Lepisosteus oculatus: one gene and its partner. The protein of the gene in region 2 interacts with the protein of the main gene of each other region in a pairwise test. Links are inferred from orthologs where the notes say so. Each region holds a gene or a part of one and is shown on either strand. Other genes may lie near its edges.

Region 1 (7,833 bases), on a different chromosome or scaffold from region 2:
CCACTCCCGCCACGCAGCTTCACCGCCGGGGGGGGCGGGGGGGCACAGAAATCCGATTCCAACATCAATTAGATGCAGTGAACTTATGGGGTGAGATTTTGCACTGGCCGAATTAGTAATGTCCCGGGTGGTGACATCGGACACTCTCCCCACGGTATTAATGGCAATCTGTCTCCACACTAGTGGAGCCTGTTAAATAGGTGGGTCCTGCGCTGAATACGCTCGGGGGAAGATCGCCGTCTCTCTTTGTGTACATTCCTGTTACAATTTCATACGCAGTTCCAAACATGTATACAAGGACACAGTTGGATTCAGTGGTTTGTGATGGAAAGTGGTCAATGGCGGGTATGTTCAGCTGTCTGGACTCGGATAAGGCCACTCAAGTTTGGTGCCGTCATGCTCTAGGCTGGGCTGCGGCAGAGAGGTGGCGACCCTGCCCTTCTTATCAGGGCGTGAGTAAAGAGCAGCCCCCCCCCCCCCGCACGTGCGGCGCCCTCCTCTGTCACACTAGCAAACGCGACGCAGGGGGAGGGCGGGCCGGCCCCTCACCTGGCCAGGTCCTTGGCCACCTGCTCGTTGGGGCAGGTGACGAAGGCGGCGGAGTGCGTGCCCGAGACGTACGATTCGGCCGCCATGGAGAACGTGCGCAGTCCCAGAGGCCTCAGCAGCGCGAGCATCGACAGGCTCAGCAGCACAGCCTGGGGGCAGAGACGACAGAGAGACAGCACCAGGACCAGCTTCAGAACCGGTCACATCCTCAAACTAACACGCAGGCCCACAAGTTACTCTGAATCACAGTCCTCAAACCCCTGGCCAGTCCGGGCAGCTAATTCCCCTCCTCTTACAACGCCTAGAGAAAGAAGACTTTCCCTATACCTAATCAGACACCTGTTTAAAGCAACACATTGCCCTATACCCATTTAAAGAACACATTTTGCTATACCCATTAAAATGTGTATTTACAGAAGACACTACCCCATGTACAGTATGTTCTTCAAATACCCATATAAAGAGCACTTTTTCCTATACCTATTTAAACACCTATGGAAAGAATACCTCTTCCTATACCGATTTATATACCTAAATTACTTCTGGTCCCCTGACATGGGGGGACTTTGTATAAAAAGGGCTGTGATTCCTATACGGTCCACCCAATACAGACAAATTCAAGATGACATTCTGCACTTCAATCTCATAGTCCTTGTTTCATTTCAAATCCAGTGTGCTGGAGTGCAGAGCCAAAACAACAAATGTTGTCTGTGTCCAAATACTTACAGACTGCACTGCGTGTCAGAACACACCTCTTCCTACACCTGTGTAAAGACCTGTGGAAAGAACACCTCTTCCTACACCTGTTTAAAGACCTGTACCTATAAAAACTAAATACAACAGGCCCAGGAGTGCCAGAGCAGGCACAGTCTACTGATTGAGTATCCAGACAGACATCGCCAGGGTCTGCCACGCAGGAGAGACAGTGCTTGCTGACAAGGGAGAGCGGGGATTTAGTTCTCTTCTCGGATACTCACTGCACAGGTGTTTCTGACCGCTGACCCGCTCTGCAATCCGTCCAGAACTCGGAGTCCGAATAACATCACCTGCCCAGGAGAGACCGGACCAGTTACAGAGCAACCTGAGCCAGACCAAGCTCAGCGCCGGACAGACAAAACCAGTTAAGACTCCCATATAGAGCAATCTGCGCCAGTCCCAGCTTCGCTCTGGCGTCTGTAACTAGAGAAGTCAGATTTACAGTACAGTAGTTTGGCGTGCTGCGAGCTTAACTATTACCTACAATACCCACAGAACAACACGCAACTTAGTTTATATAAACGTTTCATTCCTTCACTGCCGCCGTTATTTTTGACGTTCTTTAAATTGCGTATAAAACTACCGCCTGATTTAAAAAAAACAATGTTTTTAAAGCACACGCTCAATGTAGGCGGTAGAACAGCTACCGAGCAGTAGCACGGGGATAAGACTTTGCCTTAAAGCAAGTACTGCCAACCATAAATCTACAGAAGCCCCTTTAATTTACTTCTGGCGCCGAGTTTTTTTTTTAAACACTGACCAGCGCTGCTTATTCTGCGCAGACACTAGGAATTGCATCCGAAAAAGTACGTCCCCCCACCCCTTGAAAGCGTGTTTCTGGACTGGGTCCTGAGCGCTGCCTCTACCTGCTGGAGTCCGGTCCTGCACGACTCTGCTACGGGTGCCGCAAAGCAAAACGTTCTGTCGCGGCGCCTCAGCTCTCATCGCTGATAAGACCGACAGCCCAGCGGCGGTCTATATATCTCGTGTCTTTTGACTTTATTTAACAAGAAGCGCACTAAAAGTAAAAAAAACAACAACATTCCCTTGTCGCTGAAAACGGTTCTTCGTCACAAGAATCCCACTGATTTCGAAATAACGATGAATAATTACTACTTTATACATTTCTTCCCCGCCTTTAGGTAAAGGCTTTGTAGAATATTTGTGAGAGAAAGGAAAGCACGTTTATTACAATTCATTGGTGAATAACCTCTTATTTTGCCCCCCAAGTGCTTTATGCTTTATTTATTTCTAGTCCTCAATGACTGAATTTTAGTTTTAGGATTAGATGCGTTTTATTCTTAACTTAGCATTAAACCACTACGTACAAAGCGTAAAAGGAGGCATCTGTGACAAATTTTAAGGGTAAAAGTGGTCACTGGGGATTAGTATTCAGCACCATGTCCAAAGAATACTGGTTATTTCCCCGAGAAATACTGATATTGAATATTGATATTGAATACTGATAAAAGACAGGTGCATGGAAAAAATAGAAGAAATCATTGAACAAAATACTGAAACTTTAATGAGTTTTAAAAAAACATTTTTGTAAGATTACATTTGGCACTAGAATAAGAATGTTTTTATCCGTTACTTGCATCAATATTTCGGTACGATAACATACATGAAACTGTCGTAAAGGAGTTGGTCGGTTCGACAGCAGCAGCTTCCGGCCACGACAGGAAGTACGATCCGCTTTACGGCCCTTGTCTTCCGCCGGCGTTTCGCCACAGCTTCGTGTTGAATTGTGAGATACCGGGGACTAAAATCTCAAGACCATCCAAGAGTTAAAGACCGAGACGGAGGTAAATAACCCCAATAACTGTTACAGGGGAGTTTTCCCGTTTGTCGGTGCCTGTATTGAAGGTATGGATGTTGTTCTTCATACAAATAACGCTGTTGGATTGAGCCGATGTAGATTAACTAGGGGCGGTAGCGCACCCAGGAAGTCTGTGCAAGAATTCAGTGTCAGTACTAACTATAGTTAAGTGTGGCGTCCTGCAGTTATTGAATACGAGGGGCTCTTGGCTCTCAGTCCAGTCTGAGGTGGGGTAGCGGTTTAAATCCAGCGGGTCCCCTGCTTTCCGCACGGGCAGGAAACTGGCCGGGTCGCGCCTGGGGGAGCAGGGCCGGTTGGAGAGGCTTGCAACAGGAGTGTCCGCTTGTCAGCAATCCCCGCCAGACCGGTGTTTGGATCTGCGACGTTATTAACGTTAGAAAGAAAGGAGCTGTAAAGGAATTGGAGCAGGCACCGTCGACGAGGCCGCTGCCGGAAACAGCTGAGGTCTTGTGTTTCTGGGAAGACCAGGAATCGAGCTGTTCTGCAGGGAAAAACAACACGCCATTCATTAGGCACGGCCAGCGTCGTACCTGCTGGCAGACCTGTTGGCGTTTACGAGCGCCACTGGGGAGGCGTGTAATTCACCTCGCCTGTGGGGAAATAGTTAATGGGGTTTATTCCATGTTGGGGAAAAAAAGAAGAAGAAAGAAAACACAACATTTCGGCCGTGGAGCCTTCTTCAGGTGTGTGAAGGCTGAAGAAGGCTCACACCCTCACACTTTACTACCCGAGAGGGGGTGTTGGCTCGTCTTCTTGCCCCGTCTCTTGGCATCTCAGTCATGGGGCTGAAGTCCCAGATGAAGCAGGGGGGCGCAGCTGCAGTCCTGGAGGGACGGGGGGGATTCCCGGTCTCCTCCTGCCTGAGCCCCGAATCGCCGCATTGAGCTCGTCGTGTCCCCGATCGGGCCGACTGCAGGTGTCAGGTCGGTGATGACTAGTCCACTGCGCAAGCCGACAGGTTGACAGTGTCCCTGGAGACCAGTGATGAAAACAGTGCTGTACAGAGTCTGAGACCTGGCGCCTGGCCGTGGGGGGTGGGTGTGGGTGTGTTGTGGTTTCTCCTAAACTGGGTAATACCGAGATCACACAATCGAGTGTTTTTTTTCCCCCCTTGTGCGTCTGCTTACCCGAGCTGTGTTTCTGTGCTGGGTGGCCTGGTGAATCTTGCGTGCAAGCTGCAGCCCACCGAGCCGTGACTGTAGGTGCCTCCTCTCTCTCTCTCCCCACCCCCCCTTTTCCAGGGATCATGGCGAAGTTCCACGCCCCGGTGATCCAGGATAACCCGAGCGGGTGGGGTCCGTGCGCAGTGCCGGACCAGTTCAAGGACATGCCCTACCAGCCCTTCAGCAAGGGGGACCGCCTGGGCAAGGTGAGCGCCGCCGCGGACGCCCCGACTTTCCCCTTGTCGTCCTGGTTTTAGGGTCCGGGAGCAGGCGTGTGGCTTGCACCCTCTCATCCTCCTCTGTGTTTCAGGTCGCCGACTGGACAGGAGCGACATACCAAGACAAAAGATACACAAGTGAGTGGTGCGACTGTAGTGTGAAGGTATTTAGTGGAACAAGTAAGAGGTTTATTCCCTGCTGAAAAGAAAGAAAACACAACGTTTCGGCCGTGGAGCCTTCTTCAGGTGTGAGAAGTTATTTAGTGGGTTTGCGGTCTACTGTCGGTAGCTTTGAGCACCTGATGCAGGGGCATGCATTGGAGCCACTTTGTTTACGTATATTGAAAGCAACATATTAATTGTTACTTATTGAATCTGTAATGAGTTACCTGGACCTGGAATACTCAGTTTCTTGTCCAGCGTTGGCATCTTTTTTTTCCATTGTGGATTCACTTTGGAAGTGTGGGGAGGAGGACGGGACTCCCACAGCAGAGCAGTCTGGGCTGTTTCGGGTTCGGCCTGCTGGGCGTCCTGGAGTTTGAGGTCGTCTCGGCCGCAGACATGGCTTCCAGCAGTGAAAACAGTACGGGGGTTTGCGGCCTGCGGAGCCTCAAACGGATGAAGAATGCTGAGCAGCTGGGAGTCTGGTGGTGTTTTTGTTTCCCCGGCTTCCCCCGAGTGCAGCGGGCTAGCGGAGTTGGATACTGAAGCGCATGTCTTCTCGTGTCCCAGATAAGTACTCGTCGCAGTTTGGCGGCGGCAGCCAGTACGCCTACTTCCACGAGGAGGACGAGACCAGCTTCCAGCTGGTGGACACGGCCAAGACGCAGAAGACGGCCTACCAGAGGAACCGCATGAGGTTCGCGCAGGTACGAGGGGCCGGCCCCGTGTGTCTGTCTGTCTCTGCCGGGCGTGCAGGAACGGAGGGGCTCTGGGTAGCTCAGTACAACTTTCAGACTGCGTCCGTCTCTGGAAGAGGTGACGGTACAGGAAGCAGATGCTTGTTCCGTTTGTATCCGTTATCGTGTTTTTTGTCGTGGAGCGTCTTTTGAGACAAGCCAAGCAGAGAAGAAGCTCCACGTGGTGGGTACAGAGCAGGCGGCTCGCCCTAACTTTGAGAGTCACTCAGTAACATCCTCTGGTCAAAGAGGATTGAAGTCGGCCTTAAACTTCAGTCTGGCTTTTTCACAGCTTGTGCTTCTGTCTCTGAGAATCTGTGGTCTTGTCCCTAATGCAGTCTGTGCCTGTCTGTCTGTCCGTCCCTGAGGATCAGAGCTCCTGTCCCTAATGCAGTCTGTGCCTGTCTTGTCCGTCCCTGAGGATCAGAGCTCCTGTCCCTAATGCAGTCTGTGCCTGTCTGTGTTGCAGAGGAATCTCCGCCGTGACAAGGACCGCAGGAACATGATGCAGTTCAACATGCAGACCCTGCCCAAGAGCGCCAAGCAGAAGGAGAGGTGAGAGGAGACCGAGCTGGCTGGAGACAGGGGAGGGAGGGGGTGGTGTTCGAAACGCTGAACCCCGCAGGGTTTCTGCAGACGGTTACCCTTGCAAGCAGCTGCAAGTCCATTTGCAGTGCAGCGAGAGGAGTAGTGCGGTATTGGCCCTTGTAAACGGATATTGCTAAATGCGAGTGCTAAAATTGAGCCTTGTGCCACCACTGGCACTGGACAGCCCTTCTGGAAGGTTTGCCAGATGCACGGTGCCTCAGACATGCGCTGCTTGATGGCTTTCAGCCTTCGTGACGGTTCAGAAGGCCAAGTCCCTGGGCAACCCCACGACTCCACAGCTGCTCCTGCGGCCTCTGGACAATTTCTTCTGTGCAGAGCTCGGCAGGGAGCAGGGTTCGGAACCTGCGTCTCCTCTAAGCGTCCGCGTTGCACGGTGGGGCGGGACCCTCGGTGAGCGTGCCCCTTCGGGTTTGAAAAGGGAAGAGCGTTTTTTGGGAAAGGGGGGGGCGGGATTGGGGGTGTTGGGCTTCAGCAGAAGGACAGCGCCCGGTATGGTCATGAGGTTATTTACAGGGGGGCTCCGGGGGTTCTGGGCCCAGAGCTGACTCTCTTGTGTAACCCCCCTCCCCCCTTGTCAGGGACCGCATGCGGCTGCAGAAGAAGTTTCAGAAGCAGTTCGGCGTGCGGCAGAAATGGGACCAGAAATCACAGGTAAGGGGAGCTCCTGGACAGACCTGCAGCGGGATTCCCATCTGCCTCTGCAGCTGTGGCCTTGGGACGTCACGAGAGCCGACGCCCCCTGCTTGGCCTGTAATGGCTCGTGCCTTGATAGAATTACATTGTGCGCCCATGCAGGGTCATTTCTTTTACGACCGTATGCGGCAGGTTAGTTGTCAAGGCTATTTCCAAGCGAACGCGAAACGGAGCTTTAAGAGTTGAAATAAGTTGCCGCAAGTTGCTTGGGTGCACTGGGGGGTTGCCAGTTCTCTTTTACAGCTTCTTGATGTTGTAGTCTTTTCAATCCCGGGTAGTATTTGATGCCCACGGAATGATTAAGACGGGGGGTTGCCATCAGTCTGGTGCAAGGGACCGCTGCGCTTGAGAGCGATCCCGAGTGTTTCCGGTTCGTTTTTTGCCTGAGCGTGGAGGCCTCTCTGGGTGAATGTGCGCTCAGGCTGCCCTGCTCCGGCAGGCACAGCTGAAGCCCCGTGACTCCTCGGTGGAGGTCCGCAGCGACTGGGAGGTGAAGGAGGAGATGGACTTCCCCCGCCTCATGAAGATGAGATACATGGAGGTGGCCGACCCCGTCGACGTGTGAGTACCCCCTCTCTTGACCCCTCCCTTTCTTTCTGCACGTCAGTCGGTCGTTCAGAACTCTCCCCCCCCCCCCCAGAGAACATGCAGAAGCCACGTGGGGTTTTGGAGCCCGGAGGAGGGTGCAGTACAGGTTTTACTCTGGTTCCGTGACGGAAATTATAGGTCCCCTTAAGAACACCACTCCTCGTCCTGCTCGGTGGAGCTGAATGTCTGCTCCTTAACCGAGGAGAAAGGCCGCAGGGCGTGTTGCAGTCAGCGCCCGTCGTGACGGGCGTGGTGCCCTGTGAACTTGCTGTGTTTGCGTTCTCTCTGAAGCCAGATGGGAGCGTCGGCATGATGGGTGTTTTGTAAGGGACCCGGCTCTTCCGGTCCCCATGGCGACTGCGGTGACCCCTCTCTGCCCCTCAGCGAGTGCTGTGACAGGGTGTCTACCCCCTGTATTTACCCCTCTCTGCCCCTCAGCGAGTGCTGTGACAGGGTATATACCCCTGTACCCCTGTATTTACCCCTCTCTGCCCCTCAGCGAGTGCTGTGACAGGGTG
Region 2 (6,932 bases):
GCCAGATGCCAGCTCACCCCTGGAACACACTTACCATAGACACAGATCCACACTGGGAGGAGAGGTCTGAGCAGCACTGTAGTTCTGTGAACAGTTCATGAATCATTGAAGTCATTTTGCAAAAAAGATTAAAATTGTCCCACACTAACTAGCCCTCCTTGTACTTTCTTGTGTTGGGAGCAACAAGTTTGTAGCCCTATCTGAACAGGAAACTACTGACCACAGCATTATTGATAGCTGATCAACATTATTTACACATAGATCAAGTAGGGAGATCCGTCAGCATGCACAGGCTACAAAGGAACGGGTAACGGGTTTTATTCCCTGCTGAAAAGAAAAGAAAGGAAACACAATGTTTCGGCTGTAGAGCCTTCTTCAGGTGTGATCGGTTATTGAGAAGGTGGAGAGGTGCTGCCGACACAGCATGTTTCCTGAGTAGCTTCATTCATGGGAGACAAGGGAGTCTAGTAATCATAGCATAGCCAGAGTTCAGAAACAATGATAGAATACTTTATTTATTCAGACACAGAGACCAGTAACCCAGACACACAGATAACAGACACAGAGACAAAGGGATACAGAGACACAGGGATATGGGGATAGAGACCCAGAGACACAGGGATATGGGGATACAGGGATACGGAGACACAGAGGCAAAGGGATACAGAGACACAGAGACACAGGGATATGCGGATACAGGGATACGGAGACACAGAAACACTGGGATACAGAGACACAGAGACAAAGGGATACAGAGACACAGGGCTATGGGGATACAGGGATACGGGGACACAGAAACACTGGGATACAGAGACACAGAGACAAAGGGATACAGAGACAGCAGTTCTCCCTGCAAGACAGGGAATCCAGCACTAACCTGTACCCCAGGGGTCTACAGTAATGAGCCCCTCAGTTTGCTCCAGATGACAGAGAAGTGTCTTGGCTGCACTGTGCAGTGAAGCTCCAGGCTATCAGGGCCGTCAGGGGGAGCCTGCAGATGAGCCTGGCTCTCGCTGTGCGTCTGTGCTGGGCAGACTGGGGTCCCGCGCAGTGTCTGTGCTCCCGGTCCTGGCAGGGTGTCGGCACGGCGGGTCTCTGTCCCAGGACCTGGAGAGCAGCTCCGTCAGGCCACTCCCTTTCCTCCAGCCCTCCCTCCCCCTCTGCGGCTCCGGCTCCGGCCGGAAAAGGTGAACAGTTCTTGAGTCAGAGCCTGAGCTCCACGAAACTGACGCACAGCCTCACCCCCACTGCTTCCCTCCCTCTTTCTCTTTCTCTTTCTGTCTCCTCCTCCTGCGGGGGAGCAGGATGTGAGTAGATACCTGCCCACGGACAGCCCCCGCCCCCCTTCTCCCAGACTCTCCTCTCCCTGCCTCCCAGCTGGAGCTGCTGCTGGCCCCAGACCTGAACAGGACACCCCAGGGTGCAGCAGGTATACGCCAATCAACAGCGTACCAGGTGTTCAGAGTGTCTATATGGTACACAGCCTGTGAACACCTGGCGTTCAGTGTACAGTTCATAAACACACCTGGTGCTTAGTCTGCAAATGTATTAAGTATATGGAGACCTGGTGTTCAGTGTGTTTATGCAGTATATCCACATCTGGTGTTCAGTGTGTGCAGCGCGTACACCCAGCTGTTCGGCGAATCTGTGACACGCAGACGAGGCTGGGAGTGTGTGCAGCGTGCACAAGGCCTAAACGTCACGGATTAACAGCACACGATGACTCTGGCACAGGGACTGAGAAGAGGTGTTCATAAAGAAAGAGGGAGGGGAGTGTGGAGCCGGGAAAACAGGAGCAGGAGCAGGGAGACGCCTGGGACAGAGCGGGAGAGGGGGAGGGGTGTGGAGGCAGGAGTCAGGCTCTGAGGAATGTTCAGGGCTGCTGGGGCTTGTCCGTGATGACATCACCCAGACCCCTGCCAGCCCCTCCTCCTGCCCACAGGGTCGAGAGGTCAGCCCCGCCCACCCCGCTGTCCTGCTGTCAGTCATGCCCTGGGGGCCCCATGCCCCCCCCCCAGACTTCCGCTGCCTGGAACTCCCACCCGGCTGAGCTGGAGCCACACTCCCAGGCAGCTTCTCTCCGGCACAGAGAAACCTCTAGTTTCACTTCTACATTTGGGACTTTCAGAGTTTTGTTCGGACCTCCAACTGCTCCACTGAACCAGCCGCCCCAGCAGGACAGCGCCTGACCCGGCCCAGAGCAGAGGGGAACACTGAGACTTTCCGAGTCCTTTCTGGACACTGAGTGAAACTCACACACTCTCTCGCACACACACAGCTGGGAAAGTGTGTAAACAGCAAGGCTCTAGGAGGGCAGCAGACAGCTCTGGGCTCCTGTCTGAAACCAGGTGAATCGCTGGGCTGGTGAGCTCTCTCCTCGCACTGGACTCACTTCAGGTCCCACTGGTGCGTTTACATCTTTGCCGGGCTGCGCAGACAAACTGCACCAACTCAGCAGAGCTGCGCAGATTCGGCAAACTTCGCAGACCTCCTGCTCCTGGGGTCACAGTGACACCCCCTCTGTCCCAGGCTGCAAGCTGTCAGTATATCACACTGTGGTCCATCAGCATGAGCCAGGCCTGCGAGTCCGCAGGGTCTGACGAGCGCCTGGTCAGTGAGAGTGCTCACACCTCTCTCAGAACAACCGTGTGAGAGTGCAGGACCTGAGCACCATCCCCATCAGCCCCACTACTTCCAAACCAAATATTCGCTAGAGGCAGGGACAATGTCTCTAGAGACAGCAGCAGTGACAGTGTCTCTAGAGGCAGGGACAGTGTCTCTAGAGACAGCAGCAGTGATGGTGTCTCTAGAGGCAGGGACAGTGTCTTTAGAGACAGCAGCAGTAATTATTCATTTTAACTGCCACATGCAACAAAGGAATTTATCTCCACCTTTGAAAAACAACAGAAGTGACTCCCTACAGATACAATCAGCAAAGAACAGGGCAGGGGTGATAAGGGCTCAGAGGGCAGAGCTCTTGCAAAAGAGTCTGTGCAAACACACATACACACATACACACACATACACACACGCACACACACGCACGCACACACACGCACACACACGCTCACATTTGTATTTCTGTATCTGTGGGCAGCTTCCCTCTAACTTTCATTCTCATATTATTTATTACACCAAACTCCATGCAGGGTGAAAACAGTCCTGGAACAGTGGGAACACTGTGAGAACAGACAGTCAGTGGGGAGTTAGGGGACAGTAAGACGCACACAGACAGACACCGAGGAAGAGAGGGAGACGAAGAGAGAGCCAATCTGACTCTGACCGACTTACAGACAGATGCCAGACTGACACACCAACAAAAGCAACAGCACCCTGATCATTGTCCAAATAATATGTACACAATTTAAACTGAAATAATTTGAGGAGGATTGATCTGAAGTGTAAAATACTGGATGTGCTGGCTTGTGAGCAGCGGTCTCAAGGTCCAGAGAAAATGTCGATCTGGACCTCTGGTGGCAGCTCTTGCTACTGCACTGTAAAAAACCAGCACACTGCCTGTATGCCGTTCAGCCAGCAGGGGGCAGTCTTCGTTCCTTTACTCCATCTCCAGTTATCTCAATGTATGACTTTCTCTATCTTTTTCCCTCCCTCTCCTCTCCCTTCTCTCCCTGCTGCAACAGTGCTTTCTGCTGGCGTGAAGGTGTATAAAGTTTAAGTACATGAATTAAACAAGATAGAAAAGTCTCCGCCTAAAGGCTCAAGTCTCTTGGTCCCAGCGGGTGTGCTCAATGTTGGTAGACTGGGAGCCAGCAGGGCTCAGCTCAGGCAGTCTCCTCAGGGCCGCTACAGGTCCTTATCTTTTCTGCTGGCCTGGGCGACCTCAGGACAGCCTCTCAAGCAGACGCCCTCCTTCCTGGGCCCTGGGGAGCCCCTGGTGGGGCCGAGCTCAGCCTCCTGCAGACAGAAACAGGGGGTGAACCTCCCGCCGCCATACCGCTGGTGACGATGCGCCCTTGCGCCGCGCCAGGCCGGAGCCTGCGGTCCTGCCCGGGGGGAGTGTGAGCCGGGAGGCCGGGGAGGGGGAGCTCAGGGAACAGGGGTGCGGGGGGGCGGACCTGTGTCTGGTGGGCTGTCAGCAGGTCCCAGGCCCGCAGCAGGCAGCACCCCTCCCCCAGGAAGCACACCAGGATGTGCAGCACGTCGCCCCAGCGACCGACCGTCAGCATCAGGACCAGCAGCCCCCCGAGTCGCACCACCACGGTCTGGAACACAGCCTGGCCACCAGGGCGGTGCTGCTGCTCCTCTGAGGGGGAGGGGAGAGACGGTCAGTAAAAGACCCAGAAGCGCACACCCCCCCCCCGGCCGCCCCCCCCCTCACCTTGCATGTAGATGACCAGCAAGGTGTAGCAGATCGTCAGGGGAGTCCAGAACCTCAGGGCGTCGGCCGCGGACAGGAAGTCGCGGTTGATCAGGGACAAGGCGGCAACGGCCGCCACCAGGAAGGCCAGGGCGAGGGCGCGGCGCAGCAGGCCCGGGATGGCGTGGGACCAGGTCAGAAGCGCGACGCACACCCCGCAGTACCGCTGGGAGCTGTGCAGCTTGTACATCGTGCCCACGTGCCCCCACAGCGACCTCGTGTGCCAGCACAGCAGCCCTGCCAGCCCTGCGCTCAGCGCCAGGCTCAGGGTGCTCTGCGGCGCCCCCTCCTGGAGGAAGCTGAGGCTGCAGGTCAGCGCACAGCCCAGGGAGAACTGGCACTGCACCAGTAGCTGGCTGCTGTGGAGGGCCTCCTGCAGGCAGAGAGGTGGCACTGCAATGAGTCTTACAGTTCTGCTCTTTATTAGACTGAATTCAATCAGCTGCTTTGCATACAGCAGAGCGTCAAGCATTGTGCCAGTGTTTGGTGTCACTGTTTAGCTCGTCAGTGTTCAGAGTGCCTGTGTTCAGCAGGCCAGAGTTCAGTGTCAGCGTTCAGTGTCAGTCTCACCGGTCAGTCTCAGCGGACCAGTGTTCAGTGTCAGTCTCAGAGGACCAGTGTTCAGTGTGTGTGGCTCACCGGCACTGCCATCAGTCTTGCAGAAACGGCCCGCAGTGAGAACTCCAGCACCACCAGCGCAGCGACCCTGGAACCCACCACTCCCAGCACCGCCGTCAAAACCCACAGCTGGACCGCCTCCATAAACCCGCCTCTCCTGTGCAACTGCACCCGGTCTCCACTGGCCCGGCCCGGGTCACTGCAAAAGCACAGAGACTCCCAGTGAAGAGCAGTCTGATCCAGTCCAGGTTTTACCAGCTGCAGGGCTCTGGCAACAGCAGCAGGTTACTGCAGGACTGAGTGATCCTGCAGACACACTGTCACCCTGCACACAGAGCAGAGAGCTACTGCAGTGAACTACAGACACACTGTCACCCTGCACACAGAGCAGAGAGCTACTGCAGTGAACTACAGACACTGTCACCCTGCACACAGAGCAGAGAGCTACTGCAGTGAACTACAGACACACTGTCACCCTGCACACAGAGCAGAGAGCTACTGCAGTGAACTACAGACACACTGTCACCCTGCACACAGAGCAGAGAGCTACTGCAGTGAACTACAGACACACTGTCACCCTGCACACAGAGCAGAGTCACTGCAGTGAACTACAGACACACTGTCACTCTGCACACAGAGCAGAGAGCTACTGCAGTGAACTACAGACACACTGTCACTCTGCACACAGAGCAGAGTTACTGCAGTGAACTACAGACACACTGTCACCCTGCACAAAGAGCAGAGTCACTGCAGTGAACTACAGACACACTGTCACTCTGCACACAGAGCAGAGTCACTGCAGTGAACTAGACACACTGTCACTCTGCACACAGAGCAGAGTTACTGCAGTGAACTACTGACACACTGTCACCCTGCACACAGAGCAGAGAGCTACTGCAGTGAACTACAGACACACTGTCACCCTGCACACAGAGCAGAGAGCAACTGCAGTGAACTACAGACACACTGTCACCCTGCACACAGAGCAGAGAGCTACTGCAGTGAACTACAGACACACTGTCACCCTGCACACAGAGCAGAGCTACTGCAGTGAACTACAGACACACTGTCACCCCGCACACAGAGCAGAGTTACTGCAGTGAACTAGACACACAGTCACCCTGCACACAGAGCAGAGTCACTGCAGTGAACTACAGACACACTGTCACCCCGCACACAGAGCAGAGAGCTACTGCAGTGAACTACAGACACACTGTCACCCCGCACACAGAGCAGAGCTACTGCAGTGAACTACAGACACACTGTCACCCCGCACACAGCAGTGTCACTGCAGTGAACTACAGACACACTGTCACCCCGCACACAGAGCAGAGCTACTGCAGTGAACTACAGACACACTGTCACCCCGCACACAGCAGTGTCACTGCAGTGAACTACAGACACACTGTCACCCTGCACACAGAGAAGAGCTACTGCAGTGAACTACAGACACACTGTCACCCCGCACACAGCAGTGTCACTGCAGTGCTACTTGAATAACTCTCAGTGTTTACAGTACTGCTGATTCTCCGGTCCAGCTCTCAGTACACTGGAGCACCACACCCTGGACAGTCTCACACTCTGGTCAAGCCGATGACGATGTGGCCCTTCAGACGCGATGACCCTTCCAGGGGTCACTGCAGGCGCGTCCAGCTCTGGACAGGCGACTCACCTGAAGCCTTTGATGAACGCGTGCACGCGCAGCAGGTTACACAGCACCGAGATCCCGCACGCGCCCACCAGCCCTGTCGGGAAACAGACACGCCGGTGGGTCGCGGGCCAGGCGGAAGTGAGCGGCGGCCGGACCCCGGGGGGGCGGGCTCTTACCCTGCAGCAGCGAGTCTAGCGTGGCGGTGCCGGGCGACAGCCACGACACGCCGGGGAGAGCGGGCAGCCAGGACCGCAGGACGGACAGCATTCCTGCCGCGACACACGG

Evidence for each region. The genes of interacting proteins can lie anywhere in the genome.
Region 1: the proteins of fblim1 (region 2) and protein CutA homolog interact in binary tests that used the Homo sapiens proteins (3 or more experiments, as listed by UniProt). The two-hybrid records come from large-scale screens. The link is inferred for Lepisosteus oculatus from reciprocal best matches to the Homo sapiens genes FBLIM1 and CUTA.

What each region holds. Positions count from the first base shown.
Region 1 is NC_090707.1:37,560,970-37,568,802, reverse strand, and holds the start of protein CutA homolog, read right to left. Parts: upstream 3,010-7,833; 5' UTR 2,930-3,009; intron 2,257-2,929; exon of another isoform or gene 2,066-2,256; intron 1,596-2,065; 5' UTR 1,593-1,595; coding exon 1,527-1,592; intron 699-1,526; coding exon 550-698; intron 1-549. Other genes in the region: eif3d (eukaryotic translation initiation factor 3 subunit D), read left to right, coding at 4,392-4,514, 4,619-4,664, 5,259-5,395, 5,895-5,980, 6,613-6,685, 7,167-7,288. UniProt on the Homo sapiens protein: May form part of a complex of membrane proteins attached to acetylcholinesterase (AChE).
Region 2 is NC_090720.1:298,377-305,308, forward strand, and holds the start of fblim1 (filamin-binding LIM protein 1), read right to left. Parts: upstream 3,009-6,932; 5' UTR 878-3,008; intron 1-877. Other genes in the region: tmem82 (transmembrane protein 82), read right to left, coding at 3,805-3,915, 4,077-4,264, 4,340-4,751, 5,018-5,195, 6,669-6,741, 6,824-6,914. UniProt on the Homo sapiens protein: Serves as an anchoring site for cell-ECM adhesion proteins and filamin-containing actin filaments. Is implicated in cell shape modulation (spreading) and motility.